Caenorhabditis elegans: one gene and its partners. The protein of the gene in region 1 interacts with the protein of each later gene in a pairwise test. Each region holds a gene or a part of one and is shown in the gene's direction. Other genes may lie near its edges.

Region 1 (9,062 bases):
GGGTGGCTTTAGGGGTACTGTAGGGGTACCGTAGGATTACTGTAGGCGTCCTCTAAGGTTACTCTAGGTATTTCTCTCAATTCCACAACTTCCAGACACTGTGCCTTCATAATGCAAACCTCATCGGAAAGCTTCATGTGCTACGTCTTCCACGTCGAACCGAACGCAGCCGCCATGGCAAAAATGGTCGAGGCTGCTTGTAAGCTTCGATACCAAAAAGTGCTCGACGCCCACTCATCATCCCGTCATCACTCGGGAATGTCGATTCATGGACAACATCCACCATCCACCTACCACGGCAAGGTTTTTGAAACTTCTTCACTTTCCCTTGCTTTAACAAATATAATCGCTTGAAAATTATTTGAAGAGTCACTTTTTTTTGGTGACAGACAAATAATAAACTAACATGTTTCCCATGGAATTTAACATTTTTAATTTTAGATTTTCAGATTCTAGGCCGTCAAATTAGACTTAGGCTTTAAATTGTTTGTAGGGGGTACTGTATTGTAAGGGTTCTGTAAGGGCCTTTTATAGGGTACTGTAGGTTACTGTTAGGGTACTGTAGGACTGTACGGTTACTATAGGGGTACTGTAAGGGTACTGTAGGGTTGCTATAGCGGGCTGTAGGGGTACTGAAGGGGTACTGTAGGAATACTTTAGGGCACTGTAGAAGTGCTTTAGGGGTACTGTAGAGCTGTTGTATGGGCACTGTAGGGATTCTGTAAGGGCCTGTAATGGGGGGGGGGTACTGTAGGGTACTGTAGTAGTACTCTAGAGTACTGTAGGTTACTGTAGGAGTATTGTAGGGATAGTGTAGGAATTCTGTAGATGTACTACAGGAATACTGTAGGACTACAGTAGATCTTATGTAAAGTTAATATGGAAGTACTGTAGGTGCACTACAAGGGTACTGTAGGGATACTATAGGGATACTGTAGGGAACTGTATGGGTACTGTAGGGGTACTGTAGTTTACTGTAGGATATTGAACAAAATTTTAAATTCGAAAAAAAAATTTTTTTTGATCGATGCACCATAACTTTTGTTGTGAGCCGAAATTAATGTGCACATACTACCAAAAAATCCAATTAACTCTTAATAATCTGCTGAAAGCCTTAAAATCCTTAAAACCTAACTTGAAATAATTACAGGGATGGACTGAAACATTTCGCGACGCTTTTGGTTCGGTGACGTCACGTATGGTACCTTCTAGGTCGGCACAACGACTTTGAATTCTTCATTTTTCTTCGGTTCTTTAATTTTCTGTATTTTTGATGGATTTTTCTCATATTTTTTTCTCTCATACTCTGTTCTGCTCATCCCAAATATGCTTTCAAACCAAAAGTTTACCCCGGCCCCTCACTTGGCAATATTCTTCAATCCACCGATACATTTTTACTTGTACAATCCCTCTTTCTGTGTAGCTTTTTCAACATCTGTGACAATTTTTTTTTGTTTTGTAGAATTTGATTTCTTTGAAAAAAGGTTTTTCTGATAAAAATGGAGTTTTATAACAAGTTTGGTGGAATGAACATGGTGCATCGATAGGTCGCGAAAATTGTTTGGCAGGAAGCTAGGCAGGCAGGCAGGCAGGTAAGTGAGCAGGTAGGCAGGCGGATAGCCATGTAGGTATGTAGGTACACCAATAGGTATGTAGGTAGGTAACCAGGCTGGTATGCAGGCATGCAGATAGGAAGGCCGATAGGTATGTAGGTAGGTAGCCAAATTGGTAGACAGGCATGAAGGCAGAAGACAGGTATTCAGTTAGGTAGGTAGGCCGGTAGGTATGTAGATAGGCAGCCAGGCTGGTAGGCAGGCATACAGGCAGATAGGTGTTTAGGTGGGCAGGAACGCCTATAGGCATTTAGGTAGGTAGGATGGCCGATAGGTATGTAGGTAGGTAACCAAGCTGGTACACAGGCATGCAGGCAGATAGGTATTAAGGTAGGCAGGTAGGCCGATAGGTATGTAGGTAGGTAACCAGGCTGGCAGGCAGGGGTCATACTGATAGGTAGGTAGGAACGCCGATATGTATGTAGGCATGCAGGCAGATAGGCATTTAGGTAGGTAGGTAGACAGGCTGGTAAGCAAACTAATAGTTGTTCAGTGAGATATTTAAAGTTTTCAATAGAAAATTTTAAAAAAATTAATTTGAATTTCTTTTTGCAAATTTTTTTTCTAAATTTTTTTCATAATTTTTTGCCTGTTTTTGCCCTTTTTTGCCCCAGCCAATTTCAGCTTCAAAATAGCAAATTCTTTCCGATTTTCCATAGAAAATCTATTCGATCAGAGTGTCGGTTGCTCAAAAATTCAATAAATAATTAATGCGCCCCGACTTATGATGAAGTAAGCTTCTTCTAACCTTGTGATTTTGGGAAAGGTGGGGGACTATTCTCATATTTCAACTAGTACTACTACTACCATCTGACACCGAATACCTTTCCAATTAGTGATTCTCAGGTGGTATAAATTGGCGAGCTGCAATACGGAGATATGCCTTTTATTTTTCGGTTTCCGGTGATTTTGCTAATTTTTCGATGGGTAAGTGAGAATTTTCTCGGTTTTTGTAATTATTCTGCAAAATTTGAATAAAAATTGGCCGCGCTACGTAGGCCAATAGTTCGTTGGGGCGCGTTTGCAGCAGTTCTTCGAATTTTTTAGTTTTTTACGAAAAACTCGTTAACTACAGTTTGAATTTGTTTCTTTCACAAAAACATTAATGGAATTTCCGCAAGCGGCAAACGATTTTTTCCGGCAAACCGGCAAATCGGCAAATTGCCGGAATTGAAAATTAATGGCAAATCGGCAAATTGCCGGAAATTAAAATTTCCGGCAAATCGGCAAACCGGCAAATTGATTTGCCGAATTTGCCGGAAAAATGGCAAATCGACAAATTGCCGGAATTGAAAATTTCCAGCAAATCGGAAAATTGCCGGAAAAACGGCAATTGCCAAAAATTTTCCGAAAATGTGAGGTCACACGAATTTCACAGCGCGCGCTCAAATTGGCGCAATTTCTGTAGATCAAATATCGTTTTCAGGCCGAAAAGACACGGCAGCCGTGAACTGTGAGATTTGTGGAGACAAGTCTTACGGTAGACACTATGGAGTATGGGCATGTGATGGATGCAGTTGCTTTTTCAAGAGAAGTGTACGCAAGAATATTATCTATACTTGTATTGGTTAGCTTTCAGGCCGGAAATTTATATTATCTGAAATTATATTTCAGCGGGAAATTGGAAGTGCGTCGTGGATAAAGGCCGAAGGAATTGGTGCCCGGCGTGTCGGCTTGCAAAATGCACAAGGTTGAAGATGAATAGACTCGGTGAGTAATAGGCTCAGGCCTAGGTGTAGGCCTAGGTGTGGGCCCAGGCATAGGCTTAGGATTAGACATGGGCCTAGGCTTAGACTTGGGCTTAGTCTTAGGCTTAGTCTTAGACTGAGGCCTAGGCTTAGGCTTAGGTGTAGGCCTAGGAGTAGGATTAGACTTTGAATCAGGAATAGTACTAGGCTTATTCGTGGGCTTAGGCTTAGGCTCAGTCTCTGGCTTAGGTTTAGGACTTGGCTTGGGCATAAGGTTATGCTTAGGCTCAGGCTTATGATTAGGCTTTGAATTAGTCTTAGGCGTAGGATTAGGCTTCGGCTCAGTCTTTGGCTCAAGCGTAGGATTAGGCTTTGGCTCAAGTCTCTCTTCTCTCTCTCTCTCCCTTTCCTAGAGTTTCAAACATTTCCGAGTCAAAAATAATATCAAGTTGCGACCCGATTTATGAATTCACAAAAATAACTTGAAATAGTCTAATATGTACACGATGAAAATTTAAATATACTAATAAAAAATATGGCGAAATTATTTGACATGAAAATTATCTTCTTATCCATCACTCCAGCGTGATTGTATCGTCGTGGCAGCTGCGTGCCTCCTCCTGGAACAGCTCCAGAGTTTCCGAGAAGCCGTCCTCCTCGTACTCCTCCGGCTCTGGCACAGACAGCTTCCGCGATCTTCTCGGCACCACGAACGTCCTCTGAAGGATCCTTGAGAGTTCCGGCTCCACGAGCTCAGCACCAGTGTCCTCAGAATCTCCGAGAGTTCCAGAGCTTCCGGAAGCGTTGTCGTCGGGAACTGTGAGCTCCATCTGAGAATGGTCATCTTCTGCTGGAGCGAGCATCTTCATAGTCCGGTCGAGCTCCTCCTCGGTGATTTGTGCTCCGGCTCCTTCTGGCTTTGCAGCTTCCTTGGCGAGAGCAGCAGCTCGGCGACACAACGCCATCATCGAATGACTGGCCAACTTCGGTGGGAATCGCATTTTCATCACTTGCTGACAGTCGGCTTCGCTTTGCAACGTCTCCAGAAGTTTGTCAAAGAGATTCCAGAATTTGTACGTCTCGGCGAGCTGGAGACGAAGCGAGAAATCCATTGACTCATCGAGTGAGAGCCAATTTTCGCAGCGAGCCATCACAAAATCCACGCCAAACCGTGCAGAAACCGTCAGAAGCGACTCCACATTCTGTGCTGTGATTTGATCCGTGTTGTGGTACATGAATTCGAGGAATTTGAGGAAATCCTCGGAAGAGACGTCCTGAATTGTGATCTCTGGATCTCCCGGGGTGGCGAACAGAGACTGGAAGACCCGCGAATGTGTGGCGAGATACTGAAAATAGTGAATTATTACACAAAAATTTTAGTAGTTTTCACAAACCTGCTTCCCCACGTGGAACTTCCGCTCCTCCACCACCACGATTGCGTCGAACACGAGCTCCTTTGGCATCGAGAAGTCCATTCCAGCCATTGTCTCGTTAGAACTGCTGGCGGTGCTGAAAAATCGAGTTTTACTTTGAAAATCCAAGAAAAATAGGCAGAAAATCGGCAAAAAATGAAGAAAAATCGAGTTTTACATTGAAAAAAAATGGCCAAAAATCGGAGAAAAATGGGCAAAAAACGGAGAGAATTGATGACAAATCAAAGAAAATGGAAAAAAAGAAGAAAATTCTGGAAGTGCAATGAAGCGCAATTCCCGCCGGTGTTTGCGTATTCTGCGCAATTTTCGTTTGACCTACGTAGGTCAAATCGAAAAGGGGCACTCTGACACCACCGGAAAACCCGATAAATTTCGGGAAACCGATAAATTTTTAGAAAAATCGAAAAATTACTGGAAAACCAATTGATTTCCAGAAAAATCAATAAATTTGCAAAAAAAAAATTGAGAAAATCGGAGAATTTTTTTTCCGTAAATTTATCGATTTTTTGGTTAATGTATACACTCAAAATAATAAAACTGCGTGGCGTGTACTGCAGAAAACCTCATATTTAGGCCCCGCCTTTTTCTCGTCCACTCACGGAGAAAAGGCAAAAATTTGGGGACCAACCAATATCAGGCCGCCGACATCCTACGGGTTCCGCGCGCCGCTATGTTTAACTCGCTGTGGGCGTGGTGCTGTCTCCGCCCGCTGCGAGTTAAACAAAGTTTTCACAAACCTGCTTCCCCACGTGGAACTTCCGCTCCTCCACCACCACGATTGCGTCGAACACGAGCTCCTTTGGCATCGAGAAGTCCATTCCAGCCATTGTCTCGTTAGAACTGCTGGCGGTGCTGAAAAATCGAGTTTTACTTTGAAAATCCAAGAAAAATAGGCAGAAAATCGGCAAAAAATGAAGAAAAATCGAGTTTTACATTGAAAAAAAATGGCCAAAAATCGGAGAAAAATGGGCAAAAAACGGAGAGAATTGATGACAAATCAAAGAAAATGGAAAAAAAGAAGAAAATTCTGGAAGTGCAATGAAGCGCAATTCCCGCCGGTGTTTGCGTATTCTGCGCAATTTTCGTTTGACCTACGTAGGTCAAATCGACGCCCGCTGCGAGTTAAACAAAGCGGCGCGCGGAACCCGTAGGATGTCGGCGGCCTGATATTGGTTGGTCCCCAAATTTTTGCCTTTTCTCCGTGAGTGGACGAGAAAAAGGCGGGGCCTAAATATGAGGTTTTCTGCAGTACACGCCACGCAGTTTTATTATTTTGAGTGTACGAAGCTGTAATGAAAAGAACCTTACATATATCTACAGAATTGAGACTCTTCGCACCAACGCCCCTGGGTAATATTAATTTAAAAATTGAACAGAATGTGTTGTCAATTTACGTTTTTAAATAGTGTTTTCTTTTTGCTTAACTGATATATCAAGTTCAATTCAGCTGTCCAAACTGAACGAGGACCTCGGAGGCTTCGATGCCTGCAGCTGAAACATACCAATAACCCCATCTCTTTCAAATGTAAGTCTATACTCGGGTAATTCATCAAAACTTATACACCAACTTAGCCTTGCATAGCCTTCTTTCTTCTAAGTTTGACTATTACAAAATTCTGAGAATGCGTATTGTGCAACATATTTGACGCGCAAAATATCTCATAGCGAAAACTACAGTAACTCTTTAAATGACTACTGTAAAGCTTGTGTCGATTTACGAAAATCATTTTTGATCGATAAAATATTAAAAATTAATAGTAAGCAAAAAAATGAACAAAATAATACGAAAAATCGAAGAAAAATGGAATATCGCTGTCACTTTTGGAAAATAAATTCATTTCGAAAGTAATTAAAAGAGATACTGTAGTTTTCGCTACGAGATATTTTGCGCGTCAAATATGTTGTGCAATACGCATTCTCTGAATTTAGTGTTCACGTAATACTTTGGACAACTTTATCCAACTTTTTTCAATCAAATTTAGCAACTTCTACGCTTGGCATTTCTAAAATTGCTAAAGTTGGTGGATAAGTTGTAGATTTCTTCTCTTATTCTCAGGTTTTTTTTTCCATTTCCAGATGACTCGATATTCTCGAAATCCGTAATCCTTACATCAAAATGCTTATTGCTAAACTTCATGTCCCAACAGGAACGTCGAGAAGTTGTTGAAGAAAACTGCCAAATCATATTTGCCCTATTGATATTGGCCAGTGGAGATGAGGCAGTACTAAGCAGGTTTCCAGTAAGTTTTTGGGTCTCACAGCGAATATTACCGTAACCCATTTAAGCCGCCAAAACCTATCCCGCAAAAAGTGCATTGTGACCCAGAACAACTACGGCTGACTATCTGCATACTTCTCTCCCAATCCAGTAAGTTTCAGATCCCCTTTTATTTATGCTAGATCTAGCTAGATATTAATTTTCCAGCCAGTCCCCTTCTGAAATTCGCTGCACCTTTGGAAAACTTTTATAAATGTTGTCTATGGCGGTACTCCTTCACAAATGACTCTATCGAGACAGCTACACAACTAATCAATACAGTTACGTGGCTCTATGAAAACGGACCATGGGAGATGTCAAGTTTGCTCCGAAGCTCCATGAGCAGTCTTATTACTGAAGTCTTTGAATCAGATAATGTTGAATTGTTTTGATTTTCAATTGATGGATGAATAAATGTTTTAATGAATTTACCGGTTTGCAATTTGCCGATTTGCCGGAAAACTTAATTCCGGCAATTTACCGGTTTGCCGGAAATTTTCAATTTCTGCAATTTGCCAATTTGCCGGAAATTTTCATTTCCGGCAATTTGCCGATGTGCCGGTTTGCCGGAAATTTTCAGTTCCGGCAATTTGCCGGTTTGCCGATTTGTCTGAAATTTTCAATTCAGACAAGTTGTCGGTTGGAATGTTTGTCGGAAATTTTCAATTCCGGCAATTTGCCGATTTGCCGGAAATTTAAAGTTCGGCAATTTGCCGGTTTGCCGATTTGCGAGAAATCTTAATTCCGGCAATTTGTCGATTTGCCGGAAATTTTCAATTCCGGCAATTTGCCGGTTTGCCGATTTGTCTGAAATTTTCAATTTCAGCAATTTACCGGTTTGCCGGAAGTTTTCAATTCCGGCAATTTGCAGGTTGGCCGATTTGCCGGAAATTTTCGATTCATGGCAATTTGCCGATTTGCCGGAAATTTTCATTTTCGGCAATTTGCCGGTTTGCCGATTTGCCGGAAATTTTCAATTTCGGAAATTTGCCGATTTGTCGGAAATTTCAAATTTGGGCAATTTGCGGGTTTGCCAGAAATTTTCAATTCCAGCAATTTGCCGATTTGTTGGAATTTTCAAATTTGGGAAATTTGCGGGTTTGCCGGGAATTTTCGATTCCGGCACTTTGCCGGTTTGTCCATTTGCCGGAAATTTCAAATTCCAGCAATTTGCCGGTTTGCCGAATATTTTAAATTCCGGCAACTTGCTGTAATTTTCACTACAAACATCAAAATTATAGACTAAAACCAGTATTTATTGGTTACATGATACATATAAATTTCAATGAAAAGGTCGCCTAAATCAAAATGAAAAAACATGAAAATCATAGAGGTATCGTGTATCATTTAGTCTAATCGGCATTTGACTATAAGCCTGCTGACAGATATCCAATTCGACAATCGTGTAGCGTGGCCATTTGAAAGTGTAGTCCTTGGGTGTTTTGATCCGTTGTGACCACATTTGTGATCCTTTACGGATTTCATTCAGGAGACTATCGAATTTGTAGCATCCACCGAGCACCACTTTGTATCTGGAAATATGGAATTTTAAGTAAAAATTATTGATTTTTTCTCAATTTTTCGATGTTTTCAGAGAAAATTGAATTTTTTTTTACTTTAATTTTTTTTTAAAAATAGGGAGATACTTCGAATTTGAAAAAAAAAATTTGGAAACTTTTTCCAGGTTTCTATAATTTTTAATCATTTCTCATGTTTTTTGAAAATTTTTTTAAAAACTCGAATATATCTTTAAAAAATACGGAAAATCGAAATATTTCAAAACTTCTCTGAAAAAAGCCAAAAAAAAACGTTAAAAATGCAAAAATACCAAAAAATTGAAAAAAAAAACAATTTTTTTTTCTTTTTAAAAGTTTCAGTGAACAAAAACCAAAGATTTGGGTTTTTCAGAGAAAAAATAGGAAAATATTCAAAAATTTGAAATATTATCCAAAAAATCAAAAAATCGGTCAAATTGATTTTTTTTTTTTTAAATTTTTTCGTAAAGCTTTAAATTTTGTTTGATTTTTGAGTTTTTCCCGAAAATTATTTTTTAAAAAATTCTGTTAAATTA
Region 2 (6,742 bases), 8.3 Mb from region 1:
TTTTTATTCTAGCTTTTTTTTCGATTCGAAAACTAGGTTTTTAATTAAAATTCACAACAAAATCCGCCGAATTTTTCCGAATTTTTTGCCTGAAAAATCTGAAATTTAGATCAATTTTCTAACCTGCAGTGTTCTTTCCAAAAACTCTGGCGTTTCCCCAGTAGAATTCTGGAAAACCCGAATATATCCAGATCGATCACAAGTTCTAGCCAATCCATATACAGGATCCACTGAAACAAATTGAATAGATACCATCCAATCATTTAATCGTCCTTTTGGCCAATGGGTTACTGTAGGTCGAGCGATTCCATTTATATACTCGAAACTTGATGAACGACGTTCGTGGTGGGGAAGGATTCGTTCGTCGAGCTGGAAAATACTGAATTAATTTTTTTTCAAAGTGATCTACTAAACCGCGCTCCTTTAATGGCCCGAAACTACCAAAAATTCTGCTAAAATTTGAAATTTTGGAATTTGTTTTCGAAACTTTTTTACCATTGTATTGGGCTTTTTTTGGGTCGCAGTGAAGAAGTAAAATTTTGAATTTTCAAAGAAAAAAACCAAAAATCGAGTAATTTTATGGCAAAGATGTATATTTTGCGATAGATTTTTCGGGGAAAAATGGTGTTTTAAAACATATTTTTGACGCGAAGTTCAAGGAAAATTGACTTTTTCGGCAAAATTGGTTGTAAAAACTCTGAAATTAGCGCGAAAATTAACCAATTATGTTTTTTTCCAAAACTTTTGGACTATTTTTCAAGGAATCTTATAAATTTCCAAAACTCACAGTCATATAGCTCATAGTTGCACATCCACTAGTCTCTGTACCCCATGAGGTCTCATCAATTGGACATGGTTTCCGTTCCACAGAGAGAACATTCACGTGGAGCCACATTTCAGAGATGACCGGGCTCACGGAGCACACCAATAATAGTAGAATTCCATAGAAGATGGGCGACGACATTTTAGTGTAGAGTGTGTGTCTGAAAGAAGGATTTTTTGTTGAAAATCAGGAAAAAAAACGGAAAAAAATTAAAAATTATTTTAAAAAAGTTGCAAATAAATCAAAAACTGCCATTTTTTCAATTTTTCGGAGAGAAAATCGAGAAAATGCAACTTTTTCTGCAGAAAAATATTCAAAAATTCAAAATTTTTCCAATTTTTCGGTGTTTTAGAGAAAATTTCAATTTTTACTTCGGAAAAAAATTTTTTCTGCAACTCGAGGAAATCGTTTTTTTAATACGACCAGAAAGGAATTTTAGGAAAATTGGAAAATTCTGAAGCTTTCAGAAAATTGAAAATTGCCAATTTTTTGAAGAGAAAAGCTAAAAAATTAAGATTTTCCCCAAAAAAATATAGGTTTTTTCGAATTTTTAAAAAAATTTCAATTCAGAACCAAACATTTTCGGTGATTTTTCAATAATTATTTTTCGAAATTTGGAAAAATCCAAAAAAAAGTGTGAATTTCAGTGAGAAAAAAAAAGCTAATTTCTGCAGAAAACAGTGAAAATTTGAGAATTCTAGGAAATATCGAAATAAAAAAAAGAATGTCGATTTTATCGGATAAAATAATACATCGACATACTTTGAGAGACTGGAATAAGAATAACACAATGACTGACTAATTGGATGCATGGTCAGGTAGAAGGAGGAAGGGGGTGTCACCTAATTATAGGCGGAGCTGGAATTACAGAGCGTCTCGAGAGATGGTTATCTTGTCGAAGGACGGGATTAGCACCTTTTACAACGTGTAGATGTCTATTGAAAGAACAAAGGATTTGATTTGTGATGGGCTGAAGATTAAGATGTTTATTGCCTTGTTTTGGAGCTTTATCTGGGCAAAAGATAAGATTTTTTTATACAAAATTCGAATTTTTGACGAAAAACGTAATAAATAATTGGATTATAGAGGATTATAGACCCAAAATGTGCTCGAAATCTGAAATTTTGTCCATTTGTCTGAGTTGCAGTAGTTGATGGAAGGTATACCTATTATAATTTGGTAGATGCACAAAAGTTGGCAGGTGTGTGGTGCACACATATCGACCGTAAATGTACCAAAAAAACACAAAAAGTATGCAAAAACAGCTACTTCACTGACAAGTAAACAAAATTTAAGATTTTAGGTTATTTTTTGCGATTTTGATTCTATTTTCAATTGAGGAGCAGTAAATAGCGGTTCTGGGTACTAAAAATGTGCTTATTTTTGTTTATTTTCCGCTTGAATTCATTTTTTCAACCCAGAGGTACCACACAACATCATCTCACTACATTTTTTGTGATATATCAAATATAATATGATTTTAAAAAAATTGAAAATACTTTTAATGGAAAATCTGACAGAAACCAAGATAAAAAACTACAAAAAACTGGGAAGAACTGGGAAAAAATTTTTTAAAAAAGTTTTCTAAAATTAAAACTACAGTACACTTTGTTCAAGGCGCATGTGCCGTTTATAACATCGTGGCGAGACCCTCGCCGAAACTCTGTCCATGCTGCTTATGATTACTGTAGTTTATTTATTGTTTAATTTTCTTAAATCTTTTATTTGTTCAATTTCCTCGTTTTCCTTCGCTTTTGTTCCAATTTTCTGTTGAAAAAAGTATATTCATAACAAAAATTATTTCTTTCTTTCCAAACAAGCCAAAAACAAGGCCATAAACCGGAAATAGCCGACAAAAGAAGTGGAGATGAGTTTTAGGGTTCGAATAGGACTGCCGATGGTTTACAATGCCGATTGTGACTGTGGAGATGGCTGTAAAGGTGCGAATAGTGATTCTTTTCAAGTTAGCCGCTGGAAATTTCTCTGAAAATCTGAAATTTTACCTGAAATCTGAAATTAAATTCAAAGAAATGCGTGAAATTATAAATTTTTATGAATTTTCTTCAATTTCCCCTAAGAAATCAAGATTTTATCCGTAATTTCCGAAATTATAGGAAAAAACCTAATTTTTTTCGGCTTGACGCAACTGCGCTCCATTGCGAATTACGAAGAAATAGTATGTGAATCGAGGAGGGCACAGACAGCTAGACATCATGCTTCTCATGAAAATTCATTCGAATTTCTGCGATTTCTATGACGATTTTTCATTTTTTCTTTGATATTTTAATTTAAAATGCATTTAAAAAATCATTTCTCATTGATTTTCTTAGTTTTCAGAAAATATCAATGCAGAAAAAAGAGAAAGAAGGCCGAAGAAAGCTGAAATACGACTCAAACGACGGTCTTCTGCCGGTAAAATTGGCAAATTTTCACTTTTTCGCCTCAAATTCCAAATTTTTGTAGGAAATTCGCCGAGTTTGCGGTTTTCCACACCACATTTCCGAAGAATTGTCGGCGAGAGGGTCTGGAAAGAAGAAAAAGCAAGTGGAGGAAGAATGGAAATGGCCTGAAGCTCAAATATGCGGAATTTGCTCTGTAAATACATTGATTATTTGGAAAAATATTGGAAAAAACTAATTTTTCCCTGAAAAAGGCAGAAAAATTGCAAAAAATCATCAAATCTTTGAAAATTTCGATTCAGAACTGGAGTTTAAAGTAAAAAAACCAGATAATGCTGAAATTATTTGATTTTTTAAAAAAGTTTTTAGTCCAAAAGAGCTGCAAAATTCGAATTTTTGATGATTTTAGCATTTTCAGAATAAAAATTCCCTTTTAAAAATTTATTATAGGCCTAGGTTCAGGCTTGGGCTTAGGCTTGGGCTTGAGCTAAAGCTTAGGCCTAGGCTTATGCCTTTAGGCTTAAGCTTAGGCTAAGGCTTATGCGTAGGCTTGGGCTTAGGCTTGAGCTAAAGCATAGGCCTAGGCTTAGGCTTAGGCCTAGGTTCAGGCTTGGGCTTAGGCGTAGGCTTAGGCTCATTATATTATTTTTGCAAAATTGGAAAAAAAAATCCCAAATTTTAGAAAAATCTCTCCACTGAATTCATAAATTTTCAATAAAAAAATGCCCAGATTTCCAAATAATTTTCCATGTTTTTTTGCAGTCCGGCGGTAACATTCTATGCTGTGAACAGTGTCCAGCATCCTTTCATCTTGCTTGTATTGGATACGAATCATCCGATCTTCCAGACGACAATTTTTACTGTAATCGATGTAGAAATCTTCCGGAAAACGTTCGGCTCTTTCCACCGGAAAAGTGCTCGCCGTCTGTAAATCCAGTGCTCCGAGTTGAAAATGAAAATCACCGAAATTGGGAAGCTATTGAATATCATTGTAATCGACTTAGAGATGAGGAACAGGCCGAGAAAATGAAAAAAGATGTTGCTTATGGGCCAAAAAGTGAATTTGCAGAAATTCAAGACTGTTTTCGGGATAAAAATCTACTGAAAGCACTTGGAATGGCTAATCCCATGGATGTAAGGGAGTTTTTTCAAAAAAATGAATTAATGCTTCAATTGAAAAATTAATGAAAATCGAAAATTCTGGATTTTTTAAAATTTAATTTTTTTTTTTAATTTTCGATAAAAATAGTTTTAAAAAATGCGAAATTTTATTAGCAGAAAATATTTAAAACACTTTTTCTCCCGAAAAACGTTGAAATTTTCGGCGTTCGATCCGATTTTCGGGAAAAAAGTGAAAAAAAAATTAGAAAAATCGGGATTTTTAACACTGTAGGATAGGATAGAAACAGAAAAAAACACAATTTATTTGCAGAAAAATGTACAAATATTTTTGAGTATTTTCGACCTTTTTTCCTGAAAATTATCGTTCTTGAGACCATTTTTCCGATAAAAATATTAAAAATAACGCTTTTTTAATTCTTGTTTCGAGTTTTTGTGAAAATTCTTTATTTCTGTGTCCTTCAAAAATTTCCAATTTTACAATAATTTTCTCGAGAAACCTAGATATTATTCCAAACATTTATAAATAATTTTTCCAACATTTTTCAGTATACAATACCACCGGAATTCCAAGCAGATCGTGATTGTTTCTCTGGTGATGCAATGGAAGACAAGAGGCCAACTATAATGGGAGAAGTGTGTGCTGAGTGCAATTTGTACGTTTTCGTAGCAAAAATGGACCTAAAGTGCCAAAAAAAAGAGGAGTTTCCTACCAGAAAGTATTGAAATTGAGCGATTTTCTCTCGAAAAATATCCGAAATTTTTCTTCAAAAAAAATCATTTTCGATTCTTAAAATGATCTCAAAATCTGAACTTTTAGATTTTTTTCTGAAAAACACGATAGAAAAATCAAAAAGAAAAATCAAAAATCAAAAAATTTCGTTTTTCGATTTTCCGATTTTCCAAAAATTAGCTTCACATTTTGGACATTATTCTTATTTTTAGAAGAAATTTGGATTTTTTTCTTACAAATATAAGCAAAATTAAATAAAAAATCGAATTTTATGGTTAATTTTCTGAACATTTTTTTCAATTTTTCGATGTTTCGATTTTCACTGAAAAACATCGAAAAATCGAAAAATGGCACCCTTGATCCCTTCTTGAAACTCCAATTATTATTTTTTTTGCAGAAAAGACGACTGGACACGAATGCTAAAATGTGACTTTTGTGATCTAATTTGGCATCAAAAATGTGTTTTTTTTCTGGAAAAAAAGTTTTAGCTAATTCAAAAAGTCAAGATTTTAAAATCTTAATTTTTTTTTGAAAATCAAAAAATCACCTGAAAAAGACAGAAATTACCTATTGAAGAAAAATAACATATAGTTTTCGAATATTATGTGATTTTCAATTGTTAAGAAAAATTCAATATTTTTTCTGAAAAATTCTGAAAAAAGTAAATTTTAATTTAAAAAAAAAATTTTCTGTAAATTTTCTGAAATAAATTTTGTAGTTGAGGAAAAATTTCAAAAATGTTCCGAAAAATTTTCTTAAAAATTTCAAAAAACTTTCGGAAAAACTTCAAATCAACTAGTTGATAGAATGAGAAAACTTAGAAATTTGTAAATTCCCTTAAAAATGCAGAAAATAAGCAAAGGTAGGCAGGCATCAGGCCCTGAAACCGCGCCTGCCTACCATATAATTTAAAACTCCAATTATTTTTTGCAGAAAAGACGACTGGACACGAATGCTAAAATGTGACTTTTGTGACCTGATATGGCATCAAAAATGTGTAACACCTCCACTTATTCATGTTCGTGCATATTTCTATTGGATGTGTCCAAGACATCCAGAAACTGTCATTGATAGTGTTTTAATTGGTGATGAGATTTCACGAGAAGATCGTCGACGGCTTTATGATAAATATGCTGATGTTGAGCCGAGCTACGAGATTTTTGAGGAATTTTGTATTAAAACTGAACAATTTCGAATGAAATCGGAGGTTTTTGGTGAGGTTTTGCTTACTGAAAATCTTTTTTAAAAAACTTGAAATTTCTAGAAATATTAAAAAAATTTTCTAATGTTTTGGATTTCTTCAAAAATCGTTTTTTTTTTAATTTTTAAAAAAATAGAAAAATGCTAAAAACTGGGAAACTTTTAGATTTTTCCCAGGAAAAATGCCAAAAATCAGAAATTTTCAAATTTGTTTCTGAAAAATGCAAAAAACTTTGAGGTTTTCAATTTTTTCCAAAAAAAAATCTCCGAAATTCCGAAATATTTAGATTTTTACATAAAAAACAGAAAAATCTTTAAAATTTTCAATTTTTTCAAAAAAATGCTAAAAAACTCGGAAAATTTTAATTTAAAAAAATATGAAAAATTCCGAAATATTTAGATTTTTCTAAATAGTTACAGAAAAAATCAATTTTTTCTAATGTTTTGGATTTCTTCAAAAACAGAAAT
Region 3 (7,176 bases), on another chromosome or scaffold:
AAATCACAAAACAGGTCTGATACTTTATGAAAACATCCAATGTTGGCTTTTCAGGGAGATTAGCTTCATCGTCAATGTTGAGTCTGCCTGGAAATTGTTGAGATGGTGATAGAAGATTTTTCATTCGCCGAATATTGATTTTTTCCATGAATGAGTATTGTTTTCTGGCTGCCTCTTTTTCTTCCCTTTTCATTCGTCTTTCTAGTTTTTGTTGGCGAGTGATTGTCTGCTTCAACGCTCTTTTACGCCCTTAAAATAAGTTTTTTTTAAAACTACATTTATTTTAAAAAAAAACGAACCTCTAATCTGAATAACATCCGCTGACGCTGGTCGTAGAATGTTACTCCCAGTAGAAGATACCGTCTGTCGAACAAACGATAACATCCTGAAAAGAACAAATGAAAAGTTTAAATAACAAGGAAGCACATTTATAAGGTTATTTTAAAGTTATTTTATCTGTTAAAACAGTGACGAACTATAAATAGGTAGATTAAAGCTGGATTGATTTATTAAATTGTATAAAATGTTGAAAAGAATAGATACATCTATTTTAGAAATAAATAAAAGGGAATGTAGACTTTCGCGAATAAAATGGATCTCAGTATACATGAACCATTCCGTAGAAGAATACCCAGAGCAGAACGAAAGTGAGAAGACCATTTCCGTGCGACCAAGTGAATGAGTTTCTTTCCGGAAAGTAGCTCAACCAGTTTCCTTGTGATTTCACGTTCCATATAACGGCCTGGATTCCAACAGAAATGAAATAGAGAATGAAGCCTTGAAAACCGGTAAGTCCGAGAATTCCTGTAAAAGAAGGATTTTTTAAATGATTTTTTTTGAAAATTACCTGCTGCCATACCGGCGGCGCACGACTGACACGTTCTTCCAAACTCGAGAGCTTCGACGTTGTTGGTTATCGCTGCCGTGCTGAAGAAATATATACATGATTATTGAATTCATGATTTTTACTTCGACTCACTTGTAACACTCATCGTTCTTCTTTTCTGCTTTTGACGATTTATCGGACATTTGAAAATCTGAAATTACAAATAACACTAATAATCAAAAAAGAACATGTTCTAGAACAACATAAAATTATTTAAAATTGAATAAAACTGGATTGCAAAGGGAATTTAAGAATTAAATAGAATAAATTAATAAATTTGTCTCTGAGAAATCTGTGCATTCTGACGTGACAGTGTATCAGTCCTGGGGAGCGCACTTGCAATATTCTTTTTTTAGCTAATTTTTTTTCTTTAAAAATATTGCATTTGCCTCGCTTTTATACTGAATCGCTTTTATAAATATATTTTTCTGCTTAAAATATTATTTTTATAAATTTCAGACATGCTTCGAAGTATACAACATGTCGAAGCCCTCAGCAGTCGTCAAATTTCGACAACATCGATGCTTCTCAAGAACAGAGCGGGTAAAACCAAGGTTTGTTGATCTTTCAATTATTTTCCCATTTATATTTTGCAATTTCCGTCTACATCAAATAGAACACAACTTCTTACATACGAAATGGCTCAAAAACCACATCATATTGGCGTGCGAAAATCGTGGCTCACATGGCATTCACAGAATCTCGAAGGTTTGTTCCAAAACTGAATTACGATTTAACAATTTTTAAAATTTGTTTTTAGAATTCCGTCAATCTCAACCACTGGTTGTTGCACAAGATGAAGTTGTTCGTCGGTTCATTCGAGGATTTTTCCCACAAAATTTAGTCGTTAGTGGAAATGAGGTAATAACTTATCAAAAAAATTTTAAAATTCAGTATAGTATCTATTTCTCTTATCCAAGTTTGCAAAACTTCACATTTTTCCAGATTGTAATCAAACGACGAGGAAACGTACTGATCGTTGCCGGATTCCTTCAATATTCGCGTCGACTCGATATTCGAAGAATCTACTGGATGTTCGGGTTTGCAGAAGAATTTCTTTCCATTCTTCTGAAACAACCAGTGAAGCTAGAAATGGCATTTGTGGAATCCGAAGAAGATGTAGCATACAACTATATCTAAAACTTTCATCTTTGTTATAGAACCGAAATACCGTAGTTTTATTTTACTTCTTTAATTGTTTCTGTTGTGTTCCAAAAAACAAAATAAATCTGAATTTTGGCATTTGGATTCTGGATTTTGGTCCCTGAAAAATATACGAGAGTCAACGATAAGACTTCATAAAATTATCAATCAGCGCATTGGTTTGACAAAAATCAATAAATATTTGTGCTCACTTCGCACACTGATAAGCAAACCCCATAGTCTTTCATACAAACTATTGCGCCCTTTCAATCGTCCTTTTTAACTATACGTGAATCACAGTTAACTATGCGTCGCTCATATAATCACTGATTATTATTCGTATCTTATTCCACTTGTGGTGTGACTTATCTGCAAAACCTAACAACATTTTAATCACTAAAACAAAAATTTCGTCATTCCATGCCTTCGTCTTCTCCATCGATGGACGAGTCTCGAAGGTCTGCTGTTCCACCAAAAGAGCCTGCTGGCAGAATTTGCACAGTTAGTTTTGATATTATTTAGAATATAATCACTTTATTGAAGAGCCTCTTGACGCTGGTTTAAAAGTTGAAAAAACCATCAGAAAGTTGTAATTTTATTTTGGAAACGGCGTGAGATTTTTCGATTTTTGCTTAAAAAATACGGTATCCGGTCTCGCCAAGACAAGTCTTTAAGGAGTACTGTAATTTCAAACTTTAGAAGAACATGCATATTTAACGTGAAAAACTAAAATAAAACACATAAATGTTTTTAAAAAAGTATTAATAGCTATGAATTATCAATGAAAATTCCACAGCTTGAAATTACAGTAATCTTCAAATGCACACAGCTTTTTGTACTGAACAAAGATTGTCGTGCCGAGACCTGGTACCGTATTTTTGACCTAAAAATCAAAAAGAAAATTCCGTTTGGATACATATCGTCTTTTCCAAAACGTAAGATGAGTTCCATAGTGGATTACTACAAATCTGGTGGTATTTTTGTAAAAATATAATAGAAAAACGTTTTTTCATTTATACTTCTAAACCAACAATTGTAATTAATTTTAGGTTTGCTCCGACCGTGCAAATGGATACAATTTTGGTGTACTCACTTGCGAATCTTGTAAGGCGTTTTTCAGGCGAAATGCTTCAAAGCATAAGGTTTTAAAAAAAAAAGCATACTCAAGTTGTTAAAAATTTTGTGTTAAGGAAATTAAATGTCCTTTCTCTGATTCTTGTCAAATCACATCAGCATCTCGCAAGTTTTGCCAAGCTTGTCGATTGAATAAATGTTTTGCTGTTGGAATGAACAGTGAATGGTTAAATGATTTGAAACCGAAGAGTTCAATTGTTTCTGGAAAATTCAAAAGAAAGAAGCCTGATATGAAGAATAACTTGAAAGTGGAAGTAGATGATACTGAAGAAGATTTGGAAAATGATGATGAAGAACAAATTAGTGTCCCCAAAGCATTACTTGAAAAGCTTATCAATAAAGCTAATGAGTAAGTTTCAATGAAATTATCCGGAAATAATAAACTACTGTTTCAACAAATTTACTATAATATAACGGGAAAATAACAAAAAAACGCCTTTACCCCAGAATGCAAAAACAGTAGCCGCGCACGTATGTAGGCATGAAGAAGTGCCTACCATGGCAGCCTTAGCACGTTCTCACATTTATTCAATTGAATCTATTTAATTAAAGTGGTCTCTCGATAACCTGTGATATGTACCGTATGAGAAAGTACAATTATCTAATCAGTAGATCACACAAGACCACAAAACTACGTCACTCTAGTAACAGACAATCGTACATTGAACTTTCAGAAAATCAAAAGACAGATGTACATGCAAATGCCAGTGTGGATTCTATCCAATTACTCAAAGACTCACCGCATACGAACCAAAGGATACAACAGCTGTGGTTAGTAGAGTTTAAAATACAAGAAAATCAATTATTTTATATTCAGAACAGTCCACAAGATATATCATTCTCCCATCATCTTCATCATTCGGATTCGTTTTATTCTTCATCTACTTCAACTCTTTCTCCAATGTCGGTTATCAGTTGTGCTCCATCTTCACATGATTCCAGTGGTTACAATACTTCTCAACTTGTTACTCAATCTCCAACCAACTACACAGTTTCTCCGGCGTCTATACCGAGCTCAATAACTGGTATGTTTTTAGGAGCAGCTCGTGAAGCTGAACGCTAGAACCTCACTGTCAAAAATGTTTGACAACAAGCCAGACATAACTCATCTAGAAGGCTATCACTACGAATTCAAAGTAGGCAGAAGAGTTACGTCCGCCTTCCGAGCCGACAAGAAAACACTTTTATTAATACGTACTGAAGTAAAGAATATACGTCTAAAATTTAGAACTGTCTCCACAAATGCCATCGCAATATCCTCCAATGTTATCACCATTTCAATTTGGTGTTATGGCCCAAATGGCTGCGCCAGCCAACTTTTTGAATTTTCCTCCAATGCCTGAAAGAACATGGACTCCAATTCAAGCAGTGTCCACAGTTCCAGTAACTGAAACTCTACCTCCAAATTTGCTAGAACAAATTCATTCAAGTACTGTTTCATGTCATCCATAAGTTTGAATTTTGCAACTTTTCAGAGATTGACAAATACATTGGAGTTTTGAATGAAGACGAGATAACTCTTTTAGAAGAACTTCATGTACAAAATGAGCCATTAAATGCTCCACTAATTCAATGGCACAATCCGAAAAGCATTGATGGAGTTTTTAGAATAATAGAAGAAGCTCTACGAAGGATTGTTAACATGGCATGCCAATTAAGTCTATTCCGAGAGCTTCACGTGGACGATAGGAAAAATCTCTTGAAAAGTGGATTTGGGGAGTTGTTGATTGTGCGGGGTCTTATGGCCTATGACAAGAGTGATAACAGCTGGAATCATTCATTTGGAGTACGAGGAAAAATGGAGGTAAAGGTGGAAGTTCTTAAGAATCCAAAACTTGAAGAACATTACAAAGCACACATGAACTTGCTTTCAACGTTTGGAGAAGATGTGAGGAATAATGAACATTTGATGCTCATTTTCAATGCAGCTGTTATATTTCATCCTCGTGAGCCAGTTTTTCAAAATTGATTCGTTTTAAAGTTATTAATTCAGATGTCTCCAACTTACGTGATAGTAAACGAGTGCACTCAACACAAGCAAAATATTTCCAGATGCTCTTGAAGTAAGTACTGTACGAGAAAAGCACGTATTGTATAACTTTTTGATTATAACATTTTTAATATTGTCCTACTTTCAGACTTCTTACATTTGAATATGGTAAATCACGTGCTGACATTGCATACAGTAATCTTCTGAATCAAGTCGTCGAGCTTCATCGTGTGAATAGGACCTTACTTCGTGTGTTTTATGGACTAGATATTGCTCAATTGGATCCTCTGATACGAGAATTATGTTCTTTTGAATAACCATTTATTAACCATGAATTATTGCACATATTGCACACTTATTAACATGAGAAAGTTTTTGAGAAAATTGCACAAAAGTCAAGGGCAGAAAGATGGAGAAAATATTACAAACAAATACACGTAGATCTGGATCGAAATCAAAATAAAAATTAATATAAAGGTATTAATTAATTACTCCTCTTTCAACCACTTTTGGCACTTGGCAACATAAGCATGAGAACGAGCACATGTTAGTGCTGGATAATAGTTCTCAATAAAGTAACAGTGCTCTTTTGCGAACTCTTCAACGGTATCAAACAAGAATTGACGTGCGAAGCTACGAAGGTTCAAGCATTGATGCTTTGTCACAACAGCTCTCTTTTTGTTTTTCTTGACACGTTGAGCACGTGTAACTGGAGCTTCAGTGGTGGTGGTGGTTGTTACATCTTCTTCTTCATCTTCAACTAACTCTTCTGCTTCAATAACATCATCTTCCTCTTCCTGTTCCACGGCAGCTGTCACAACTTCTTCCTCTTCTTCTTCTGGTGTAGTTGTTGGAGCTTCAGTAGTAGTTGTTGTGGTTGTAGTCTTCATTTTTGAGAGACGAATTCTCTTCATAACTCTCTTTCTAACCTCCTTATTCAAAAGTTCTTCTTCCTGCTCTTTTGTCAACATCTGAACCTTGCTGCTTCTCTGTTCGATAGCATCATTCATTGGAGTATCATTTTGAACTTCTTGTTGGGTTGTTTCCTGTCTTTTTGGGCTCTCTTGAACCTCATCAACTCCATCGAATTGCTCAGCAAACTCTTCGGATGGTGGGGAAACACTTGGAGCCACTTGGGTCTTCCATTGCTCGTCATAAAGATCTGGGAACTTGCGGATCTCTTTCTTTTCTTTCTTTGATGTTTTGTGACTCTTTCTCATCTTTCTCTTCTTCTTTGGTGGTTCAGTCGTTGCTTCTTCTTCCTCCTCAACTGGTTTCTCTTCAACCTTTTCATTCTGAAATGATAAAAATGAGGATTTTTAAACTAAAAAGATATTCCCAAATGAGTTATTAGTTGAATTTGCAGCTAACGTGCTGACAGCAATTGAGTGCAAATTAAAAAGGCCCCCAAAATTAACTTATCCGAAGGCATCTAAAAGTGCATAAAACAAAAAGTTACTTCTTCAACTTTGACGACACGTGGTTTGCGAATCTTTCTTTTACGATTGATGCTGTACACACGAATGCTTCCCTGAGACAAGTGTTAGATTAGCAAATGTGATTGATTAGAATGAACAGAGTATACCAAGAAGAGAGAGAGAATAAATAAGACTTACCTCTTTTTGAAGAATATTGACTGGTTCCTGTTCCTCCTGTGCTTGAATATCGATTGGATCACTCATCTGAACAGTTTTTGCTCCAAATTGACGAGAATGCATGTCTTTTCCCTTTTTTTCAAGATAATGAATCTTTCGTCTTGGAAGGGACTTGCGTTTTGGTTTAATTGTCTCTTGCTCAACTTCTTCAATTGTCGTGACTTCTGGTTCTTCGGTAGTGGTTGGAGTGGTAGTGGTTGTTGGATCAGTGAACAAGTTGATCTGAAAATAATGGAATTGAAACTATACTTTGTAGTTTTTGTGTGGGTTTTTTTTTCAAATTTTTACTTTCATTTTTCAGTTTCTTGGATGCATTTATGGAGCCACTTCAGCACTTCTACAAAATAAGACAGTGGGACTTGTTCCCC

The links. Proteins that work in one complex are often made in the same cells at the same time.
Region 2: the proteins of nhr-239 (region 1) and athp-1 interact in a two-hybrid assay, tested with the Caenorhabditis elegans proteins (one large-scale study listed by BioGRID).
Region 3: the proteins of nhr-239 (region 1) and nhr-8 interact in a two-hybrid assay, tested with the Caenorhabditis elegans proteins (one large-scale study listed by BioGRID).

What each region holds. Positions count from the first base shown.
Region 1 is NC_003281.10:2,559,174-2,568,235, forward strand, and holds nhr-239 (Nuclear receptor domain-containing protein), read left to right. Parts: upstream 1-2,536; coding exon 2,537-2,540; intron 2,541-3,039; coding exon 3,040-3,180; intron 3,181-3,227; coding exon 3,228-3,323; intron 3,324-3,745; exon of another isoform or gene 3,746-3,876; coding exon of another isoform or gene 3,877-4,647; intron 4,648-4,695; coding exon of another isoform or gene 4,696-4,785; exon of another isoform or gene 4,786-4,810; intron 4,811-6,181; coding exon 6,182-6,259; intron 6,260-6,810; coding exon 6,811-6,974; intron 6,975-7,020; coding exon 7,021-7,102; intron 7,103-7,159; coding exon 7,160-7,383; 3' UTR 7,384-7,422; downstream 7,423-9,062. Other genes in the region: feh-1 (Protein Fe65 homolog), read left to right, coding at 96-303, 1,151-1,231; Y54F10AM.11 (BTB domain-containing protein), read right to left, coding at 3,877-4,647, 4,696-4,785; Y54F10AR.2 (Mitochondrial genome maintenance exonuclease 1), read right to left, coding at 8,295-8,523.
Region 2 is NC_003281.10:10,879,201-10,885,942, forward strand, and holds the start of athp-1 (PHD-type domain-containing protein), read left to right. Parts: upstream 1-2,565; 5' UTR 2,566-2,763; intron 2,764-3,160; 5' UTR 3,161-3,169; coding exon 3,170-3,235; intron 3,236-3,286; coding exon 3,287-3,418; intron 3,419-3,984; coding exon 3,985-4,356; intron 4,357-4,890; coding exon 4,891-4,997; intron 4,998-6,007; coding exon 6,008-6,288; intron 6,289-6,742. Other genes in the region: C44B9.3 (C2 domain-containing protein), read right to left, coding at 124-369, 788-895.
Region 3 is NC_003282.8:7,708,700-7,715,875, forward strand, and holds nhr-8 (Nuclear hormone receptor family member nhr-8), read left to right. Parts: upstream 1-2,444; 5' UTR 2,445-2,449; coding exon 2,450-2,530; intron 2,531-3,078; coding exon 3,079-3,171; intron 3,172-3,219; coding exon 3,220-3,512; intron 3,513-3,837; coding exon 3,838-3,934; intron 3,935-3,980; coding exon 3,981-4,188; intron 4,189-4,391; coding exon 4,392-4,592; intron 4,593-4,638; coding exon 4,639-5,109; intron 5,110-5,156; coding exon 5,157-5,226; intron 5,227-5,301; coding exon 5,302-5,470; 3' UTR 5,471-5,499; downstream 5,500-7,176. Other genes in the region: mrpl-1 (39S ribosomal protein L1, mitochondrial), read right to left, coding at 24-249, 300-384; emc-6 (ER membrane protein complex subunit 6), read right to left, coding at 599-804, 848-927, 980-1,029; mrps-24 (Small ribosomal subunit protein uS3m), read left to right, coding at 1,348-1,440, 1,489-1,594, 1,647-1,747, 1,832-2,026; F33D4.6 (aECM cysteine-cradle domain-containing protein), read right to left, coding at 5,642-6,448, 6,613-6,684, 6,770-7,030. UniProt on the Caenorhabditis elegans protein: Orphan nuclear receptor.